Saccharomyces cerevisiae S288C: one gene and its partners. Changing the gene in region 1 together with any one later gene gives a genetic interaction. Each region holds a gene or a part of one and is shown in the gene's direction. Other genes may lie near its edges. The genes, in order: PSD2, PHO84, MRX11 and ARO7.

Region 1 (8,225 bases):
CGTCGTGCTGTAGAGATTCACGAAAAGGATTTAAAGGACGAGGAGTTAAAAAAGGAATTGCAGGATGAAGCTATCAAACATATTGACGATTTTTACGATTCTTACAATAAAAAGAAGGAACAACAATTGGAAGATGCTGCTAAGGAAGCTGAGGCTTTCTTAAAGAAAAGAGATGAATTTTTTGGTCAAGACAATACGACCTGGGATCGTGCACTTCAATTAATTAACCAAGATGATGCCGATATCATTGGGGGTAGAGACAGGTCTAAGCTTAAAGAAATTCTTTTGAGATTGAAAGGTAACGCGAAGGCTCCCGGTGCTTAAATGATGATGAATAATAAGAACCATAATGAACTAAGGAAGAGAAGGGGCTTATTCCCTATCATTCCCGTCATACATGAGTATCATACTTGATAGGTTCAGTAAATAACTAATTCATACTGTAAATTCATTTATCAAGACAACTATAATATAGATTATTTACAAACTTGTAAACTCTTCTCTTCTAAAAAAACACATCACATAATACTAAGCTGAAACAAAAAGAATAGTATATATTTCCCAAAGTTGCAATGCCAATACTTTTTCAAGTAAACATTAACCAAGGACTTCGCAAAGAATTTTGCGAAAAATGGGCTGATTTTCATTTTACTTGTTGGATCCACGAAGGTGAATGTAAGAAGCATCACGATGCACCGCAATTTGTTGCCCATTAATCTGCGCCTTTTCGTGACGAATAAATATTCGATACACTGCCTTAATATAGTCCATTTTAGACTTGGAAAAAAACCCTTGGTGAAATATGAATTTATTATCTTTTCGTTTATATTTGCATAATTATCATCAATTGTAACTTCATGTATTTCATTTAGTCTGTCCATTACATGCTTCAAATTTGATGAAGATATGGGCCAATCATTATGGTTCTTGACCCCAAGGTATTGAGAAAAGTTCCTGACTTCGTGGCCGCCGACATTCTTATTTGATTTCGTCCCTGAAGTAAAAAAGAATTTTAATGTTCTGTGATATACTGCCAAAACTGTGAAAATGGCATTGATTGTGAAGAAATCTATTAAAAATGGCCTATGGTCAAAAAGCACACGGAATGGTAACGAACTCCTGTCCAGTTTGGCAAATAATACAATAATCGCTAAACACACAAGAATTTGCTGGAATTTTATTAATGTACCCTGGGAAAAATTTTTTTTTTTCAACCATTGTGTTAATTTTGCGATCTTTAATTTGGAGGCTATAGCTTCCACAAGAAAGTGTGCGATAATCCACGAAGGTACCTCACCCTTGGTAAGCATTAACGATATTCCTACAATGGAAGACCAGTGAATATAATGATTTTTTAAAAATGGGAACTTCATCAAAGTTGGATATAGTATGTTCAGCAAGACTAATATAGTAGACTCTCTTAGCCATGGCATGATATCATTTATTTGAATATTTTCACCCTGTAATTTTTTCAATTTCCATTTTTTGACATAAAATACTAGGTTTATTCCATAGACTTGGGTTATTCTTTTCAAGATGATGACGAGTTGTTTTCTTCTCTTCTTGTTCAAGAGGAGTAGAAGCCTTCTTATTATCTGCTTGAAGCCAGAAACTGCTTTCCCAGTACCATTTGGACGATTGTGTTTCATATAGTTAGCAAGTGTATACTCTCATTAGCTCTGTTCGCGATGTGTATTTCGTGGTGCTTTATATAGGGTTTTTAACTTTTCCCCATGAACATTCGCTGTTATGTATTCGCAACTAAAAATAATGTCTCTCTTTAATTTTAATTTACATCCAAAGTACGGAAATGGTAACTAAACTATATACAAAAAAAGTTCGCTCAAAAAAAAGTTTAACTATTGTCCAATTGTGCCCATTTTGGTAAATCTGTTTTGAACTTGAATTTGCCATTAATCTCCTCATACTTCCAAGCATGCAACCATAATTCTAGGTCTGATAGCACAGGATCCTTTAAATCAACAGTATGACATTCAGGACAAAATGTTTCCATTGTCCGACAATTATTTTTTGTCTCATCGACAAATTTTTGAAACCTCACTTTCAATTCCTCAGCATCTAAATCCTGCTGATTCTCCCATCTAGGAAACTGAGTTATAAACTTAAGCCTTTCGGGGTATTTTGTAATATGCGAACAATAAACACTATCGTTGACGATGGGATGACCGAGCCTAGCTAAATGGATTCGAATTTGGTGTGTTCTTCCAGTTATTGGCTTACAAGCGACGACAGTTTCATCAGCATGAGAGAAGTATCTTATTGGGTAGAACTTGGTAATAGCATCCTTCGATGTCGATAAACCAACTGGAAACTGTCTCTTTGGATCGATAGAATATATGGGTGTCATTTCCACTGTAACTTTGGAAGTGTCCTCAAAAGTCGTTTCCGCCGCATTTTCATTGTCCAATATCAATTCGGAGTGAGGAAATCTTCCCTTGACCCTTGCCAAGTAGATCTTAATCATATCTCTTGAACGAATACTCTTCTGGATTTCCCCCGCACTCTGACTGTTCTTGGCCAATATCAACAAGCCTGATGTGATCTTGTCTAACCGATAACAAGGAAGAGCATCTACACCATGTAACTTCAGTAATTCAGTAATTGTGTTCTGGTAAAACTGACCGGTTGGATGCACTGGTATACCACTGGGTTTATCAATGACGAGGATACTCTCATCTTCAAAAACAATATTGAATCCCGCTATTCTGCCAGGTAAATCCTCCGCTTCAACTTCCTGGCTACACCATTGTTTTACCGGCGGTTCGTGCTTATGCGTAGTTGTTTCTAAAACATCATGATTCTTGATTATGGTAGTCATGAGATGATCTGGTACCAGCGGCACACCATCTCGGATCAACCTATATGTGCCTTTCCTTATTTGGTCCAAATAATAAGCTCTTGGGCGAAGTTTAAATTCACTAACGAGAACGTCTATTAGTAACTTACCCAACCAGCGCCCCTTCACGAACGCTGATCTTCTGTTATAATAGGGCCGTACCTTTCTCAGTCCATTCTGTGTATATACCTCAATAACTTTGATAGTTGACATACTTGACAATCATCCTTTTGCCCACTGATTGTCTCGAGCAATCGTCAATAAAGTTTTCACAAGAAACATTTATTTGCCTTTTAATGAAAGAAAAAAAGTAAATTTTTCATTAACTTTTATCATTGTTATCAATCTTCTTGTATGACAGCAAGCTATATATACATACATATGCAAATCTAATGTACATAATTTCAACTATTCATACCATTAGTACCATAAAGTCATTCTTTTTACTGTAAACTACACTTGCATTATCCTTCCTCGTCCCTCTTTATTCTTATAACGTTGAACAGTGATTTCTTACCATGTGTATTTTTGTACTCAACCCGCAAAAGATAAGCATCCTCATACAGAAGTATTATTATTACCACTGTTACTTTTATTGTCGTTATTTGTCTTGCGTTTTTATGTTTATGGAGATAAAGTGGGAATGACTTTATCATATGCAATTATTAGCCGCTATAAGGCTAAGATTCTTCAAATTTATTTCATTTTTCTTTTACCCTTGCCACCCTTGCCCAGTTGCTCCTCCTCTGCGGTTAGCAACGCATCGCGCTCCTTTTTAGCTCTTGCTTTTTCTTGTCTTTTTTGCTCTTCCTCTAATTTTTTGGCATTCTCTTTCCTCGAACCTTGTTCCCATTTAGAAGCTTCCTCCGCTTCTAGCTGCTCCATTTGTGCTCTTTGTTTAGCATGTGCCTGATCTCTTTTTCTTGCTAAGCCAGCTGCTTTCTTTGCGGCGGATTCTGAAAATCTTTTACCCATCTTTTTACTTCCTCTTTGCTATTCTATTATTTCCTGTATAGGCAGGTTTTGTGCTCAATTGATAAATTCTTTTACCTATTAAATATAAACTTGAGTTTCAACTTATTCAGCTTTATTTTAAACATTATACAAGTTTTTCATTTTGAGGGGTCTTTAACTGGAAAAAAAAAGCTTTCACGACTCAAAGAAAAAAAAAAAAATTTTTTTAGGGTAAAAAAAAACTAAGGGCTAATATGAAAAATACAAAGGTTATGTTACTTTAAAATGAGGTTTGGAAGAAGGAGAAAGACAAAAAAGCAGGGCACATGTCAAACTCTTGGAAACTTGAGATCCTAGCCCTAACGCATGTGCTACTTCAAGGAATTCTTCTTATATATGACAACTATTCCAATTTGATGCTAAAACTAGCCCAAAGTGGTTGATGCTGTATCAATTGGTAAAGAATCCTCGATTTTCAGGAGCATCCAACGACGAAGATGAGGATTATTAAGGGCAGAAAGCGAGGCAAGAACAAGAAGCCAACGCTAATTTTAAAAATTCATGTCATTCAAGCTGAAAATATTGAAGCCTTGAAGACATTCAATTGTAACCCGGTATGTTTTGTTACCACTAATACATTTTATAGTCAAAAGACGAACAAGCTCAAGAACTCAAATACACACTGGAATCAAACCTTGAGGATCAAACTTCCGAGAAATCCAACATCTGAATGGTTAAGGATTATAGTATACGACGCCCTACCAACCGGAGCTCCCCCTACTACCCCCAGTAGACCAAGGACAACCACTGCAAATACATCTTCATCGACACTGTCAAATTCAGGGCTAAGTTCTCACTCTCATTCGTCGAGAAATTTGAATGTTACGTCCAAAGGTAATCAAACTTCAACATCAATTAATTCAGTATCATCTTCAGCTACACCGGCCCCTTCACATTCTTCCTCTTCTCTCTCAACAACAGGTCCCGGGTCCACACACAAAAATAGGATTAATAGCTATCTATATTTGGGTGAAGCAAAAATTTCATTACTGGATTTATTCAAGAGGAAGGACACCACGACGAGCTATAAATTTTCAATTGAAGCTCAGCGGTACCATCTATACGATATGAAAGGAGGGAAAGACCAAGATTCCTTGAACTGCAACTTTCTAGTGGGCGATATTTTGCTTGGATTTAAGCTAGAATGTAACGTTAAAAGAACCCCGACTTTTCAGGCTTTCAATGCTTGGAGAAATGAGTTGAACACTTACTTGGGCAGAATAGATAGAAATAAGGCCCGCATGAGATCTTCTAGTTCTTTGCCACCTCCACTAGAAGATATGTTGAGCAATAGTTCAGCTGTTAGTGGAAATGAAATACGACGCGAGAAACCATATAGCGATACTGATCTAGCCCACGATGAAGAGGTCAATGCCGAGGATGAAATAGATGCTGAGGAATCTATTGAAGATATGAATAGCAGCGGCAGCATTTGTACGGAGAGGAGGTACGATATAGACAATGATACTATATTCGACTCTATATCTGAGGTTGTTTCGCTAAATGATGAAGAACTAGATATTCTAAATGATTTTGAAGAAGCAGATCATCCAAATGTGCCAGACATAAATGTGCATGACATCGACGAAGATACCCGTATCAGTCTATCTTCAATGATAACAGCTTTAGATGAATATGATATCGTAGAACCAGAAGATGTTGCAAAATTACCTGCAGTGTCGGAAAATGACATAACATCAGTGGATGACGAAGAATCTGAAAACCAACAGGAAAGTGATGAGGAGTTTGATATATATAATGAGGATGAGCGTGAAGATTCTGATTTTCAATCAAAAGAATACATTGGGAGTCGGCTTTTACACCTGCAAAGGGGTAAACATAATAAATCATATGCAAATTACTTATACAGAAGAGCAAAAAGTAACTTTTTTATATCGAAAAAGGAACATGCGATGGGGGTAGTATTTATGCATATTGGGGCTATCAAAAATTTACCTGCATTAAGGAATCGGTTGTCCAAGACTAATTATGAAATGGATCCATTTATCGTTATTTCGTTTGGTAGAAGAGTATTCAAGACATCTTGGAGAAAACATACTTTAAACCCAGAATTTAATGAATATGCCGCTTTCGAAGTTTTTCCCCATGAAACGAATTTTGCTTTCAGTATCAAAGTTGTTGATAAAGACTCATTTTCATTCAATGATGACGTTGCAAAATGCGAACTGGCTTGGTTTGATATGCTGCAACAGCAACAACATGAAAACGAATGGATACCTTATGAGATACCATTGGATCTCACTGTTGAGCCAGCACATGCTCCTAAGCAACCGGTATTATATTCGAGCTTCAAATATGTTTCATATCCGTTCTTAAAAAAGAGCTTTTGGAAAGAAGCTGTTGACACATCAGTCAACTTAGAGAGACTCGACATTATTCAAGTAATGCTCTATCTTGAACGTCTTGGTTCATTCACGATGGCCGATTCTTTTGAACTCTTTCAGCATTTCAATAAATCTGCTTGGGCCGGCCAGAGCATTACTAGATCACAATTAGTTGAAGGGCTACAGTCATGGAGAAAATCCACTAATTTTAAACGCATCTGGACATGTCCTAGATGCATGCGTTCATGCAAACCAACTAGAAATGCTAGACGTTCTAAACTGGTTCTAGAAAATGACTTGATAACCCATTTTGCCATATGTACGTTTTCAAAAGAACACAAAACTTTAAAGCCGTCGTACGTCTCATCTGCATTTGCATCCAAGAGATGGTTCTCTAAGGTTTTGATAAAATTAACTTATGGTAAATATGCTTTGGGATCTAACAATGCAAACATCTTGGTTCAAGACCGAGACACAGGGATAATTATTGAGGAAAAAATAAGCGCACACGTAAAGTTGGGAATGAGGATTATATACAATGGTAAAAGTCCCGAGTCTAAAAAATTTAGATCCCTCTTGAAGACTTTATCAATCAGGCAAGGCAAAAAATTTGACAGCACTGCATCTGCCAAACAAATTGAACCTTTCATAAAGTTTCACTCGCTAGACCTTTCACAATGCCGAGATAAAGATTTTAAAACATTCAATGAATTTTTTTACAGGAAACTAAAACCAGGAAGCCGGCTGCCTGAAAGTAATAATAAAGAAATATTGTTTTCACCAGCAGATTCAAGATGCACAGTGTTCCCAACTATACAAGAATCGAAGGAAATATGGGTGAAAGGAAGAAAATTTTCTATTAAGAAACTAGCCAATAACTATAATCCGGAAACATTTAATGACAATAACTGCAGTATTGGTATATTTAGACTGGCGCCACAAGATTATCACCGGTTTCACTCACCATGTAATGGTACGATTGGAAAACCTGTATATGTGGATGGAGAGTATTATACTGTAAATCCAATGGCCGTTCGTAGTGAGTTAGACGTCTTTGGTGAAAATATCAGAGTTATTATCCCCATCGATTCTCCTCAATTTGGCAAACTACTGTACATACCTATTGGTGCAATGATGGTTGGATCCATACTATTGACCTGCAAAGAAAACGATGTAGTTGAGAGTGGACAGGAGCTGGGCTATTTTAAATTTGGAGGTTCTACTATAATAATCATTATCCCGCACAACAACTTCATGTTTGATTCCGACCTTGTGAAAAACTCTTCAGAACGCATTGAAACGTTAGTCAAAGTCGGGATGAGTATAGGACACACATCAAATGTGAATGAATTGAAGAGAATCCGTATTAAAGTAGACGACCCAAAGAAAATTGAACGGATCAAGAGAACAATTAGTGTTAGCGATGAAAATGCCAAGAGTACAGGAAATGTAACATGGGAATATCATACTTTACGGGAAATGATGAATAAAGATTTTGCTGGGCTATGAAGCCGCCGAAAAATTGGCTGTAGTTAGTGGTTACCAAAATGGAAAAAAAAAAAAAACATGAACAATCTCCCTCAGACTTTATTATAGACTATAGCGTGTACAAACAAGTCATCGTTGATAATGAAAGCAATGGTTTCATACCAGGAAATTTCCTATGAAAAATATGCATTTTTATTAGTAACAAAAGAAACTATATTCCTAGTCCTCTTGCAGAAAATACGATATAATACTTAAGTTAATATTTACAGTGCAGTAAGTACCTTTTTCATGACCTCATATTCGTTTGTTCCTCTTGCAACCTGAATGGAATTTTTTTCAAAGGTACTTCTCGGCCTTTCTTGTTAGATTGCTTTCCATATGTTTTATCGGAACCCAATCTAGCATAATTTATAGTCCTTTTCTCCTTTGAAACATCAATACGATCTAGGAAACTTTGTGAGAGAGATGGTATAATGGATTGGCATAAAATGGAGAGGATTCTAGACGTTTCCATAGCCAAA
Region 2 (4,001 bases), on another chromosome or scaffold:
AGGGCGTTCATAATCTCCTTAAACTTCTTCAAATTACTTTGATGGTTGGACATATTGGGTATTAGCGAGCATACAATCTGCGACCATGCCTTGTATAAACTCTCATCCCAAATCGAAGTAGGAAAACCTATCAGATTGGGAAACCCAAATTCCGAAGACGTTTCACTCAGGTTTTTCATCATGATTTGGAACAGCTCCTCTCTCTTATCCAACTGAACAAGATCCATCTTATGCAGAAGAACAAAAATTTTGGCGTCGGGAGAGTACTTCCTTAATTGCTTCAAAGCTTTTGCAAATATTTCAATATCCTTGAGAACTTCAGTTGACTCTACATCAAAAACGTGAATTAACACCTGCACCATCTGGAAAATGTGGTCTTTTTGCTTGGTGAAATAATTCTCCATAAACACGTCCTGCCCACCACAGTCCCACAGATTTAGAGTCATATTCCCAAGAAATCTCAAATGGGAGTGCTCTACATCAATGGTGGCACCCAATCTCCTAGTGTCAAAAGCGGAGTAGTTACTAAAGATGATCGACCTCATTGACGATTTACCGGAGCCGGACCGGCCCATCAGAAGCAGTTTCTTCCTATTATTTGACGACATTACTAAATTGTCGATTGATAAACGTGATTTTGATGGCCTTCACTCCTGTGTAAGATACCTATTGTATTTATTCAAAAAGAAATTATTACCATAATCACAATTTAGGGTAGGGTCCCACATTGAACTTTTCACTTCGTTTTTTTACCGTTTAGTAGACAGAATGCGAGAGTGATAAAGAAGAGGCGGTTAATCAATGAAAAAAAAAAAAAAAAATTTAAAAAAGAAAAGAGAAAAGGAATAAAAAAGTGTCACGTGATAAAAATCACTACCCGGAGATGACTTCAAACGACTCGGTATACTCTGCCTAATAAACCTTAATTTTCTTACAAAAAAAAAAAGATTCAATAAAAAAAGAAATGAGATCAAAAAAAAAAAAAATTAAAAAAAAAAAGAAACTAATTTATCAGCCGCTCGTTTATCAACCGTTATTACCAAATTATGAATAAAAAAACCATATTATTATGAAAAGACACAACCGGAAGGGGAGATCACAGACCTTGACCAAGAAAACATGCCAAGAAATGACAGCAATCAGTATTACGCACGTTGGTGCTGTTATAGGCGCCCTATACGTGCAGCATTTGCTCGTAAGGGCCCTTTCAACTCATCTAGCGGCTATGAAGAAAATGTTGCCCGGCTGAAAAACACCCGTTCCTCTCACTGCCGCACCGCCCGATGCCAATTTAATAGTTCCACGTGGACGTGTTATTTCCAGCACGTGGGGCGGAAATTAGCGACGGCAATTGATTATGGTTCGCCGCAGTCCATCGAAATCAGTGAGATCGGTGCAGTTATGCACCAAATGTCGTGTGAAAGGCTTTCCTTATCCCTCTTCTCCCGTTTTGCCTGCTTATTAGCTAGATTAAAAACGTGCGTATTACTCATTAATTAACCGACCTCATCTATGAGCTAATTATTATTCCTTTTTGGCAGCATGATGCAACCACATTGCACACCGGTAATGCCAACTTAGATCCACTTACTATTGTGGCTCGTATACGTATATATATAAGCTCATCCTCATCTCTTGTATAAAGTAAAGTTCTAAGTTCACTTCTAAATTTTATCTTTCCTCATCTCGTAGATCACCAGGGCACACAACAAACAAAACTCCACGAATACAATCCAAATGAGTTCCGTCAATAAAGATACTATTCATGTTGCTGAAAGAAGTCTTCATAAAGAACACCTTACCGAAGGTGGTAACATGGCCTTCCACAACCATTTGAATGATTTTGCTCATATTGAAGATCCTCTGGAAAGAAGAAGATTGGCTTTGGAGTCCATCGATGACGAAGGTTTCGGTTGGCAACAAGTTAAGACCATCTCCATTGCTGGTGTTGGTTTCTTGACAGATTCTTATGATATTTTTGCCATTAATTTGGGTATCACTATGATGTCCTACGTTTACTGGCACGGTAGTATGCCAGGTCCAAGTCAAACCTTGTTGAAGGTTTCCACTTCTGTTGGTACTGTTATTGGTCAATTTGGTTTTGGTACTTTAGCTGATATTGTTGGTCGTAAGAGAATTTATGGTATGGAACTTATTATCATGATTGTCTGTACCATTCTGCAAACCACTGTTGCTCATTCTCCTGCTATTAACTTCGTTGCTGTTTTAACATTCTACCGTATTGTCATGGGTATTGGTATCGGTGGTGACTACCCACTATCTTCTATTATTACTTCTGAATTTGCCACTACCAAATGGAGAGGTGCCATCATGGGTGCTGTCTTTGCTAACCAAGCTTGGGGTCAAATCTCCGGTGGTATCATCGCTCTTATCTTGGTTGCTGCTTACAAGGGCGAACTAGAATACGCAAACTCTGGTGCTGAATGTGATGCTAGATGTCAAAAGGCTTGTGACCAAATGTGGAGAATCCTTATTGGGTTGGGTACCGTTCTAGGGTTGGCATGTTTGTATTTCAGATTAACTATTCCAGAATCTCCTAGATATCAATTGGATGTTAACGCTAAGTTGGAACTTGCTGCTGCCGCACAAGAACAAGATGGCGAAAAGAAAATTCACGACACCAGTGATGAAGACATGGCAATTAACGGTTTGGAAAGAGCTTCTACTGCCGTCGAATCTCTTGACAATCATCCTCCAAAGGCTTCGTTCAAAGATTTCTGCAGACATTTTGGTCAATGGAAGTACGGTAAGATTTTGCTAGGTACTGCTGGTTCATGGTTTACCTTAGATGTTGCTTTCTACGGGTTGAGTTTAAACAGTGCTGTTATTCTGCAAACCATCGGTTATGCCGGTTCCAAAAACGTTTACAAGAAACTGTATGATACTGCTGTCGGTAATCTGATTTTGATTTGTGCTGGTTCATTACCTGGTTACTGGGTATCCGTCTTCACTGTCGATATAATCGGTAGAAAACCAATTCAATTAGCCGGTTTCATCATCTTGACCGCTTTGTTCTGTGTCATCGGTTTCGCATACCATAAACTTGGTGACCATGGTCTGTTGGCTCTTTACGTCATTTGTCAATTCTTCCAAAACTTCGGTCCAAACACAACCACCTTTATTGTTCCTGGTGAGTGTTTCCCAACTCGTTACAGATCTACTGCTCATGGTATTTCTGCTGCATCTGGTAAGGTCGGTGCCATTATTGCACAAACCGCTTTGGGTACTCTAATCGACCATAACTGTGCTAGAGACGGTAAGCCAACCAACTGTTGGTTACCTCACGTCATGGAAATTTTCGCCTTATTCATGTTGTTGGGTATCTTCACAACCTTGTTGATCCCAGAAACTAAGAGAAAGACTCTAGAAGAAATTAACGAGCTATACCACGATGAAATCGATCCTGCTACGCTAAACTTCAGAAACAAGAATAATGACATTGAATCTTCCAGCCCATCTCAACTTCAACATGAAGCATAAAAGCCTCAAAGATGCACTAAAACTTGTAAACTAGAACAAATAATACAAAAACATTTTTATAAACTTATTATCAAACCCCTTACATAATCTATAAATACTGTCAGGTTACATATTTATTCGATAATTTCTTTTAATTTCATTATTTCCTCACATCTCTCTGCCATCCTGTTGGCTGGTGCCAGAGCAGAGCATATCGTCCTTTCTTTTTTAGTTCCAGACGTTACCCGACATATCATTTCTCGAGCCTCTGGAAACCACGAAACGTTTTACAAATTGCACATCTAAAAGAAATATAAACACAGATCAGGTATCTCATAAAGTACATTAATCGACTAAGCAAGCGACTTGAGACAATGAGAGAGGTCATTAGTATTAATGGTATGTATGCGTTCCTTTTTTTGTTCAATATTCGCAACCAATGGCACCTGTGGGACAGGGAAAGAAGTTTGATCTGATCTGGTTTGATTCATTCCCAATTGGTCACCATCTGGTTGATTTAC
Region 3 (5,328 bases), on another chromosome or scaffold:
GAAAGATATCATAAACAGATATCAACTTTCACAGGGGAAGTACATTTTTTATAAGCCTGGCTGGGATTGTCATGGACTACCCATCGAGATTAAAGCTTTGAAAGATTTAAGCGCGCAACAGATCGAGTCAATATCGCCTTTAAAAATCAGGTCAATGGCTTTAAAACATGCACAAAAGGCAATCAAGAGGCAAAGGGAAACTTTCCAACATTTTGCCATCTTAACGGACTGGGAAACACCATACCTAACAATGGATAAAGACTATGAAATTAATCAGCTAAATATTTTTAAAGAAATGTACGAAAGAGGACTGATTAAGAGACAGAACAAACCGGTTTACTGGGGTACAGAAACTAGAACAGCGTTAGCAGAGGGCGAATTAGAATATAATGAAAACCATAAATCCATCGCTGCTTATGTTAAATTTCCTCTTGAAAAGAAATCCCAGATGGATCTGTGCAAAAAACTAGGAATAACGAATAACTTGCCTATATACTGTTTGATTTGGACCAGTACTCCATGGACTCTTCTCTCTAATCGAGCAATCTGTTTCAATCAGGATTTTTCCTACTCCCTATTACGCTTAAATAGTGAACTTATCCTTGTAGAGACCGGCTCCATTGATAAATTGGGCCTAACAACTAACTCATTTGAGACTATCAAACAGTTTCAAGGAACTCATCTAAATGGGCTATATTATCAAAACCTCTTAGTAGACGATAAGGTTGGCAGGCCCTTATTACATGGTGCACACGTTACCAGCGGTACAGGGACTGGATTGGTTCATACAGCACCAGGGCATGGACAGGATGACTATCTCATTGGTATTCAAAATGGTCTTGAAATTTATTCTCCCGTGGATCACCAGGGCCGCTACCAATTAAATGAACTTCCTCAGTCCGTCAGATCCATCGTGAGAGATGAAGGAGACTTAACAAAAGGTAGGCAAGTATTGGATGCCGAAACCGCGAAAATCATTCTATGTAAGTTAAGCGACCTTAATTTACTTTACAAATCTCACGAATACACGCATTCTTATCCGTACGACTGGAGATCCAAGAAACCTGTCATAATAAGAGCTACTCCACAGTGGTTTGCAGATTTACACGATGTAAAAAACTTGGCTCTGGAAAGCATCAGCCGCGTCAAGTTTTGTCCTAAAAGAGGCTATTCAAGACTTTCATCCTTTATGAAAAGCAGAAATGAATGGTGCATATCTAGGCAACGCTCATGGGGTATCCCTATATTAAGCTTTTACAAGAAGAGCGAACCGGATTCTGTTTTGATGAATTCAGAAATTTTGGCACATGCCATAGAAAAAATCAAACAAAAAGGAATTAATGCATGGTTTAACGATAAAGATAATGACATGAAAGAATGGTTGCCAGAAAAATATCACGACGTAGCGCATGAATACTGTCGTTCTCAAGATACTATGGATGTGTGGTTTGATAGTGGGTCGTCATGGAGTGTGATCAAAGACTTTTATGAAAAAAGCTTAAAGTTGTCAAAACTCCCATCCCCCCTGTACCAAGTTTGTCTAGAAGGATCTGATCAACATAGAGGATGGTTTCAAAGTTCACTGCTAACAAAAGTAGCATCAAGTAATGTCCCTGTTGCACCATATGAAGAAGTGATTACTCATGGTTTTACCCTAGATGAGAATGGTCTGAAAATGTCAAAATCTGTGGGAAATACAATTTCTCCCGAAGCAATAATTCGAGGCGATGAAAACTTAGGCTTACCAGCTTTGGGTGTTGATGGCTTGAGGTATCTGATAGCACAATCGAATTTCACAACTGATATAGTTGCTGGCCCGACTGTGATGAAACATGTAGGAGAAGCTCTAAAAAAGGTTAGACTAACTTTTCGCTATTTATTGAGTAATTTACAGAAGTCCCAAGATTTCAACCTTTTGCCGATTGAACAATTACGCCGTGTTGATCAATATACCTTGTATAAGATAAACGAACTGCTGGAAACGACGAGAGAACACTACCAAAAGTACAACTTTTCCAAGGTTCTCATTACTCTACAATATCATTTAAATAACGAGCTATCGGCGTTTTATTTTGATATCTCAAAGGATATTTTATATTCCAACCAAATATCGTCATTGGCAAGAAGGCAGGTCCAAACAACGCTTGTCCATATACTAAATGCATATAGGGCAATTCTTGCACCAATATTACCCGTTATGGTCCAAGAAGTATGGAAGTATATACCAGAAGGATGGTTACAAGGACAAGAACATATAGACATTAATCCGATGCGTGGAAAATGGCCGTTTTTGGACTCAAATACGGAAATCGTCACCTCCTTTGAAAACTTTGAACTAAAAATTCTAAAACAGTTCCAGGAGGAATTCAAGAGGTTAAGTCTAGAAGAAGGTGTCACCAAAACAACACATAGTCACGTTACCATTTTCACCAAGCATCACCTCCCATTCAGTTCTGACGAGCTTTGCGACATATTGCAATCATCTGCTGTTGATATATTGCAAATGGACGATAATAATAACAGTCTACCAACTATTGAATTGGGAAGCGGAATAAACGTTCAAATATTGGTTGAACGAAGCAAAAGGCACAACTGTCCCAGATGTTGGAAGGCCAACTCAGCCGAAGAGGATAAATTGTGTGACAGATGTAAAGAAGCTGTGGATCATCTCATGTCTTGAATGACATGTACCTTTCCTGTATATAAAGAATGCCAATTATTGGCTCTTAGAAAATAAAAACCCTCTTGTACTTATTAGTGGGTACCTAACAGGTCCCCTACTGACATTTTGATGCAGGGCCTCGGCCTATTGTTCTTACCAGCTCTCAGCGCGTTATACGAACAGGAAGCAAAGAAGAGAAATGTAAAAATATTGCTTTTGAGAGACCGTGTAAGGATAAGTGTTACACCCAAGGCACCCTCACCAGGAACATGACTGTCATGAATCTTTTCTTCAGGCCCTGTCAACTGCAGATGGGCTCTGGACCGTTGGAGCTCATGCTTAAAAGGCCAACGCAATTGACCACGTTTATGAACACCAGGCCCGGCGGATCAACCCAAATTAGATTCATATCGGGAAATTTAGATCCAGTGAAAAGAAGGGAGGATAGACTACGTAAAATATTTTCCAAGTCACGACTTTTAACAAGGTTAAACAAGAATCCTAAATTTTCACACTATTTCGACCGCCTCAGTGAGGCCGGCACGGTTCCAACACTTACATCATTCTTCATCTTGCATGAGGTAACTGCCATACTACCACTGTTTCTACTATGGTGGTTACTTTATAACCTCGATCTTTCTGATGATTTTAAGCTCCCAAACTTCTTAAATGGCCTAATGGATAGCTGTCATACAGCTATGGAGAAATTTGTTGGTAAGAGATATCAGGAATGCCTCAACAAAAACAAGTTGATTTTATCTGGCACAGTAGCCTACGTTACAGTAAAATTACTATATCCGGTACGCATTTTCATTAGTATCTGGGGAGCACCATATTTTGGGAAATGGTTGCTTCTTCCCTTTCAAAAATTAAAGCACCTTATTAAGAAATAAAGCTTTTTTTTCCTTTTTTTTTTCTGGCCCAGAGACGGATTATTGTTTTCAGTTGAAGTTGCGCACTCGGCATATGATTTATAGATTCCCAATATATTGTACTTCGTTATATATGTGTTACGAATATTTTTGATTTCGTTTTAGAGAGTTTTGATTAGAGGAAATTATAGCTTTTTTTAACAGTGAAATAAATATCATACATCAAAAGTCTTCAAGAATTACGTGGTGTGGCTTAAGTTGCGTTTCATTTTCCCGCTTCAATACTTGAAAGTTATCCCACAATCACTGCTGACAAAAAGGATACAAGAAAGGTTTATAGGAAAGAAAAAAGGCGGAAGGGTATACTGAAGTTAGTAATTTTGCTTCCCAATTGAATTAAGGCCGCCTAGTTTTGACGGGAGGAGAGAGAAATGTATAATGGCAAGGATAGAGCACAAAACTCCTATCAGCCAATGTACCAAAGGCCTATGCAGGTACAAGGACAACAGCAAGCTCAATCGTTCGTTGGAAAGAAAAACACAATCGGAAGTGTGCATGGAAAAGCCCCGATGCTAATGGCCAATAATGATGTTTTTACTATTGGACCTTATAGGGCAAGAAAAGATAGAATGCGGGTATCTGTCTTAGAAAAGTACGAAGTTATTGGCTACATTGCTGCGGGCACATATGGTAAAGTTTACAAAGCGAAAAGACAAATCAACTCCGGTACCAATTCCGCTAATGGTTCTAGTCTGAATGGTACCAATGCGAAAATTCCGCAGTTTGACAGCACGCAACCAAAATCAAGCTCTTCAATGGACATGCAGGCAAATACAAACGCATTAAGAAGAAACTTGTTAAAGGATGAAGGAGTGACCCCCGGAAGAATACGAACTACGAGGGAAGATGTATCCCCGCACTATAATTCCCAAAAACAAACCCTCATTAAAAAACCGCTGACGGTATTTTATGCCATTAAAAAGTTCAAGACAGAGAAGGATGGCGTCGAACAATTGCATTATACGGGAATATCTCAGAGTGCCTGTAGAGAAATGGCATTATGTCGAGAATTGCACAACAAGCATTTAACCACATTAGTGGAAATTTTTTTGGAAAGGAAATGTGTCCATATGGTATACGAATATGCGGAGCATGATCTGCTACAAATTATCCACTTCCATTCCCATCCCGAAAAAAGGATGATACCACCAAGAATGGTTCGGTCTATTATGTGGCAGCTTTTAGACGGCGTATCGTATCTTCATCAAAATTGGGTGCTTCATCGAGATTTGAAACCCGCAAATATAATGGTGACCATAGATGGATGTGTTAAAATTGGTGATTTAGGTTTGGCCAGAAAATTTCATAATATGCTGCAAACCCTCTATACTGGGGATAAAGTGGTTGTCACTATATGGTACCGTGCACCTGAGTTGCTATTGGGAGCACGGCACTATACCCCTGCGGTTGATTTATGGTCCGTTGGCTGCATTTTTGCAGAACTGATAGGATTACAGCCCATATTTAAAGGTGAAGAAGCTAAACTAGACTCTAAAAAGACTGTTCCATTTCAAGTGAATCAACTACAGAGAATTTTGGAAGTTCTTGGCACTCCCGATCAAAAAATTTGGCCTTATTTGGAGAAGTATCCAGAATATGATCAAATTACGAAGTTTCCAAAGTATAGGGATAACCTTGCTACATGGTATCATTCCGCGGGAGGAAGGGACAAGCATGCTTTAAGCTTACTTTACCACTTGTTAAATTATGATCCAATTAAAAGAATAGATGCAT
Region 4 (5,652 bases), on another chromosome or scaffold:
GTACACATGTCGCATGGAGACAGCGTCGTATACAAAGTGGTATCTTTGTACACTTTGCCCTCTAATCTCCCACAGTTTTCCAAAGTGGAGATCTCACCATGTAGTGTGGCGGATCCCTTTTGAAATCTCATGTTGTGACCACGACCGAGAACACTTCCGTCTTTGTTATTGATAAGACATCCGCCAATAGGAACACCACCCTCTTTGTAACCTAAGGCCGCCTCCTCATAGGCAATGTCCATACCCTTCTGATCCCACTTGCTTGCCATTCCCCCTGTCACCATTAGCTATGAAATTTTTAACTCTTTAAGCTGGCTCTCATCAACATAAAACAATGGCTTGTAGATCTCATTGTCGAATTGAAAATGAACTTTTTAATTTCGCAAAAAAAAAAAGAAAAGTTCAGGGTCTCCGGGTACTACCGCCCCTGCAAGGAATGACCGGTGATAATGGAAGAGAAGATATTACAGCGACAGTATAATTAACAAACACGTTGTGTCTTTAGGCTCGTAACTAACTGTACGTATATCTACACACCATAGGTCACTACTTGCAATATATTTGTTATGCTACACCATAAGTTCGTATACCCATTTTTATTCAAGTGGCACTTATCATGTGTAGAAAAGTGTCCCCCACAAATCACTTTTATAGCTAAGTATGCTACAGCGAACGATAAAAATGGCAATAGAAAACTTACGATAAGGGATGAACAATGGCCTGAGTTGGCAGATCCAACTCCCTATGATATTTTTGGCATTCCAAAGGCCGGATCTGGAAATCCTAAACTGGACAAGAAGTCGTTAAAAAAAAAATATCATCGTTATGTAAAATTGTACCACCCTGACCATTCCGATAACATTCAAATATTTAGCTCAGAAAAGGTTACCAACAGTGATAGTAAATCACCGCTGCTGCTAACATCAAGCGAAAAACTACATAGATTTAAAGTCATCTCTCAAGCATATGATATTCTTTGTGACCCAAAGAAAAAGATCGTATATGACACAACGAGGCAAGGCTGGACCACATCGTATTCACCACGTTCTAACGTTAATACTGAAAATTACCAATATGCCGGCTCTTATGGCTACCACTCTAACGCGCAGTATGAATACTGGAACGCTGGGACTTGGGAAGACGCAAATAGCATGAAAAACGAAAGAATTCAAGAAAACATCAACCCATGGACCGTTATTGGCATAATTTGTGGCCTAGCTATATGCATCGAAGGGACTGCGTTGTTAGCCAAAATCCAGGAGTCTCTGAGCAAGGCCGAATTTACTCATGACGAAAGTGGATTACATTTGATTCAGTCATACACGAATTATGGTCTTGATACTGACAAATTTTCCAGATTGAGGCGGTTCTTATGGTTTAGAACTTGGGGACTTTACAAGTCGAAAGAGGATTTAGATAGAGAAGCCAAGATCAATGAAGAAATGATACGCAAACTGAAAGCAGCTAAATGAAATCACCTATTGCGCCGCTCGCGGAATACAATTACTAAATTTTATATATATTCTTTAAAAATGCATCTATACATTCGTTTTTCCACGTATACCAAATTCGAAAAAAGTTGTTAAACCATCGTTTTCACGTTTTTTAATTTTTTTTTGGTTCTCTTTTTTTTTTTTTTTCAATATCAACTTTTTTTCAAACTTCGTGTTGCATTTCCTTTATCGTAAATTTTCAATGGATCTCTATAATCTTCGAAGTTCGAAGAAAAGAAGAAAAAAAGTATTGAAAAGTTGAAACATCGATTCCGTTTTGCTAACAAATAGCACTCAGCATCCTGCATAAAATTGGTATAAGATATGGATTTCACAAAACCAGAAACTGTTTTAAATCTACAAAATATTAGAGATGAATTAGTTAGAATGGAGGATTCGATCATCTTCAAATTTATTGAGAGGTCGCATTTCGCCACATGTCCTTCAGTTTATGAGGCAAACCATCCAGGTTTAGAAATTCCGAATTTTAAAGGATCTTTCTTGGATTGGGCTCTTTCAAATCTTGAAATTGCGCATTCTCGCATCAGAAGATTCGAATCACCTGATGAAACTCCCTTCTTTCCTGACAAGATTCAGAAATCATTCTTACCGAGCATTAACTACCCACAAATTTTGGCGCCTTATGCCCCAGAAGTTAATTACAATGATAAAATAAAAAAAGTTTATATTGAAAAGATTATACCATTAATTTCGAAAAGAGATGGTGATGATAAGAATAACTTCGGTTCTGTTGCCACTAGAGATATAGAATGTTTGCAAAGCTTGAGTAGGAGAATCCACTTTGGCAAGTTTGTTGCTGAAGCCAAGTTCCAATCGGATATCCCGCTATACACAAAGCTGATCAAAAGTAAAGATGTCGAGGGGATAATGAAGAATATCACCAATTCTGCCGTTGAAGAAAAGATTCTAGAAAGATTAACTAAGAAGGCTGAAGTCTATGGTGTGGACCCTACCAACGAGTCAGGTGAAAGAAGGATTACTCCAGAATATTTGGTAAAAATTTATAAGGAAATTGTTATACCTATCACTAAGGAAGTTGAGGTGGAATACTTGCTAAGAAGGTTGGAAGAGTAAGCATGAAGGCTATCACGGTAACAATTCCACATTGCCGAGTGATTACTACGCATATATAAACACACACACTCACCATATATATGTACGCATAGTAGCATCTATTGAATATAAGAAGATAGAGTTTCAAGTTATACATTATATTGTACTATTTTCTTAAACGATGGCTCATAAATTCTATAGGAATTATCAACCCAATAACCTCATCGCTAATTCAAAAGTAGCAAAAGTGGCACCATTGGCGGGAGCAGCTCTTAGCATGGTAGGACCAAACCCTTTGAAAAAAGCGCCTATCCCTCCATTGGCATATAAAGTCTTGGCTACACTGGAAATAGAATTACCAAATTTAGGCTTTTGTAAATTATCCGTTTGCATGACAGACTTGATGACATCTAATGGATATACCATCAACCATAAGGCAGTGCCAGACAATGCTCCAAAAATACAAAGTTTCCATGCAGGAATGTCCTTTCTCTCTAGTCCACGTCTTTTGTTCATTTGGTTAGCAATCAACGCTTCATACACTAAGAAATATGTGCCACATCCATGACCTTCTCTCAATATTGTAGGTGTTAAACCACGTAGCAAGGCCTTGTTATGTCTTAATTTTTTGATGCATTCCAAAGGACCCTTGAATTCTGCGTTGGTGCCTGAGCCAGTCTGTGTTTGCAAGCGAATCCTGACATGCTCAATTGGGGACGCCAAGAATGAGTTTACTATACCGCCTGTGACACCACATGCGTAATACTGTGGCAATGACAAAGTCGATGACATATCAGCATTGCGATGATGAAAAAATCTCTTCATAGCTTCATTAACACCAAATTGTAATGAAACACATGCACCAACACCAATTAATGGCGTCAGAGTTCCTTTGTAAAACCCGCGAGGCCCTTCATTGGCAAGCAGCTTTCTGACGACTTCCATGGCTGTTGTTGGGGTGCTCGATGTTTGTAACCTAACTTTTGTCGTATCAAAGGGCTGGCCCACTAGCACTTGCGCAATACCACCCGCTGTACCTGCAAGCAAATCTTTCACGACTCGAGCATTATCATGCTGTGGATGTTCTTCCAAATCATCGATTAGTTGAGGAGATGGAAATTCTTCAGACATACTTCTTCGTGATGCGAATTTGATTGACGAGAAACCTAAACAAGAGAGCTGCGTTGGAGTATAGATGATAGTTGTTATTAGCTTATTGACATTGATTGATGCTATAGCATGGCTACATCATCGCTGACAATTTGCGCTCGAGTTTTCTTAGGGCGCCGCTTATCTTCGGCCTATCAGTAAATGTAAGAATGAGTCAATCAAAGTAATAACACTTTTTACTTCCTGTAAAAAACTACATAAGAAATTTATTTACATTATTCTATCAAGTCTTTTTGACCATAGTTCACTGCTATAACAGACACTGTCAGCTCAGTTATCGTCATATTCTCCACCGCGGCTGGTATCTCAACATTCAATTCCGCCATCTCCTTCGGGAGTGTTATTTTATTCTCATGTGCTTCAACTGGCTTCTTTTGAATCAGTTCAAGGCATTTCTTTCCAAGATCTCTCAAGATGCTTGTATATTCTGCCGTGACTCTTTCGGGTGTATGTACCAGTATGTAGAATAGCCAATCTTGCAGCCGACGATAATGCCTTCCTTTCTTGTGTATTTCTTTTATCCATGTATTCGACATATACTTGATCAGAACCCAAAGTTGCTTAGAGGTAATCTTTTCATGAAAAGTAGTATGCTGCGGTTCATTGTTTATAAGGTATTGGAACCACTGGTTGTATCCAACTAGTTCATGTTTATCTCCTTCAGTGATTACTTTTTTTACATCCTCAACACTGTCAATCTTGGTTTTTTCCAGCCGTACCAAAATATTCTTCGCCCATTCCTCATCAATCTGAAGATTTTCTTCCTTCTCTTCTGCCTTCTCAGGAAAGGAATGCTGATTTAGGACACTTATAATTTTTTCAACTGTAGTACATTTGCTGGGCATATCTTCGAGATAATTCTTTAAGAAAAGCAATAAAAGATCCAGTGTTTCGTCCTCATAACCGGTAAACTCGTAGGCATTAGTCAACACCGTCGCCTTCACAGAGTTAAACCACCTTACCCATATTTCTACATTCCTTTGAAGCCTAATCAAGGATGGCGAGATGGCGTGCCTTTTAAGGGCCCCCTCATCCTCATCATCGTACATGCTTGATTTGTGACGCGTCCTCTTTTGCAGATTCATATGATTCTTAATCGATATGGCGTTGGTTCTTAGTGCTTCTTGCCTAACACTTTTAAGATATTCAATGACATCAGGATTCACTGAAGAATCAGATAGTGCAAATGCACGAGATTGACCAAAGATGGCATCAGGCGCCTGGCTTTCTCCTCTTTTCATTGTTTATCACCTAATGTTTCTGTTATGATGGATGTTGGCAATGTTATTGTATGATACATTATCCAAAGCGAACTAATAAATCTACCGAAGCAACAACAGCGATGCACCCAGACAGTACATAGATAGTTATATTATCAAATTCGATATGATTGAAGTCAAAACAGTTCAAAGATGACACAACGTCTTAAGCTAATCACATCAAAAGCTTTTTTTTTTCTGTGGAATGTCCAATATACATGTGCTTAAAGCTAATTTTTTTTTATGTATTATTACGATGCATTGTGACGAAGGTTACCTGCTTGAAACGGATAATGTTCATTCCTTTCGTTCATGGTTTCGTCACCTTCTTTTTGGCTTTCAACCTTGGAACAACTGGTTTCCTCTTCAACTTGGCAATTACGTGCTCATCAAATTGAGAATCACAAGCAGGACATTTATTTCCGGGCGGTATGATTGATAAGACACATAGGCAAACTGAACAGATGAATCCAACGGCAACAACTCTCCCTGTTAAATAGCATGATGTCCTAAAATCTACAGATCCATGGTTTGGCTTAACAATTATAGGTCTTAACGACGGATCAATAAACATTGCAGTTGCTAAATATTGAATTAGCCCTTCTGTAGATTCAACATGTAAATAAACGCCATTTGTGGCATCCGTCGTTTGCTGT

What was found.
Region 2: mutations in PSD2 (region 1) and PHO84 together harm fitness more than expected from each alone (negative genetic interaction), as found in Saccharomyces cerevisiae (2 studies listed by BioGRID).
Region 3: mutations in PSD2 (region 1) and MRX11 together harm fitness more than expected from each alone (negative genetic interaction), as found in Saccharomyces cerevisiae (2 studies listed by BioGRID).
Region 4: mutations in PSD2 (region 1) and ARO7 together harm fitness more than expected from each alone (negative genetic interaction), as found in Saccharomyces cerevisiae (3 studies listed by BioGRID).

The regions. Positions count from the first base shown.
Region 1 is NC_001139.9:832,834-841,058, forward strand, and holds PSD2 (phosphatidylserine decarboxylase 2), read left to right. Parts: upstream 1-4,308; coding exon 4,309-7,725; downstream 7,726-8,225. Other genes in the region: clathrin light chain CLC1, read left to right, coding at 1-324; PEX35 (Pex35p), read right to left, coding at 519-1,649; pseudouridine synthase PUS6, read right to left, coding at 1,856-3,070; LSO2 (Lso2p), read right to left, coding at 3,554-3,832; methionine--tRNA ligase MSM1, read right to left, coding at 7,991-8,225. UniProt on the Saccharomyces cerevisiae protein: Catalyzes the formation of phosphatidylethanolamine (PtdEtn) from phosphatidylserine (PtdSer). Plays a central role in phospholipid metabolism and in the interorganelle trafficking of phosphatidylserine.
Region 2 is NC_001145.3:23,537-27,537, reverse strand, and holds PHO84 (phosphate transporter PHO84), read left to right. Parts: upstream 1-1,737; coding exon 1,738-3,501; downstream 3,502-4,001. Other genes in the region: Rag GTPase GTR1, read right to left, coding at 1-608; YML122C (uncharacterized protein), read left to right, coding at 1,120-1,500; alpha-tubulin TUB3, read left to right, coding at 3,855-3,879. UniProt on the Saccharomyces cerevisiae protein: Proton-coupled high-affinity transporter for external inorganic phosphate.
Region 3 is NC_001148.4:473,345-478,672, reverse strand, and holds MRX11 (Mrx11p), read left to right. Parts: upstream 1-2,931; coding exon 2,932-3,555; downstream 3,556-5,328. Other genes in the region: isoleucine--tRNA ligase ISM1, read left to right, coding at 1-2,680; cyclin-dependent serine/threonine protein kinase SSN3, read left to right, coding at 3,966-5,328. UniProt on the Saccharomyces cerevisiae protein: Component of MIOREX complexes, large expressome-like assemblies of ribosomes with factors involved in all the steps of post-transcriptional gene expression.
Region 4 is NC_001148.4:671,797-677,448, reverse strand, and holds ARO7 (chorismate mutase ARO7), read left to right. Parts: upstream 1-1,817; coding exon 1,818-2,588; downstream 2,589-5,652. Other genes in the region: FCY1 (cytosine deaminase), read right to left, coding at 1-284; JID1 (Jid1p), read left to right, coding at 567-1,472; YMC1 (organic acid transporter), read right to left, coding at 2,775-3,698; BRR1 (Brr1p), read right to left, coding at 3,953-4,978; TFIIH/NER complex subunit TFB4, read right to left, coding at 5,307-5,652. UniProt on the Saccharomyces cerevisiae protein: Catalyzes the Claisen rearrangement of chorismate to prephenate. Acts at the first branch point in the aromatic amino acid pathway where it steers biosynthesis towards phenylalanine and tyrosine, and away from tryptophan.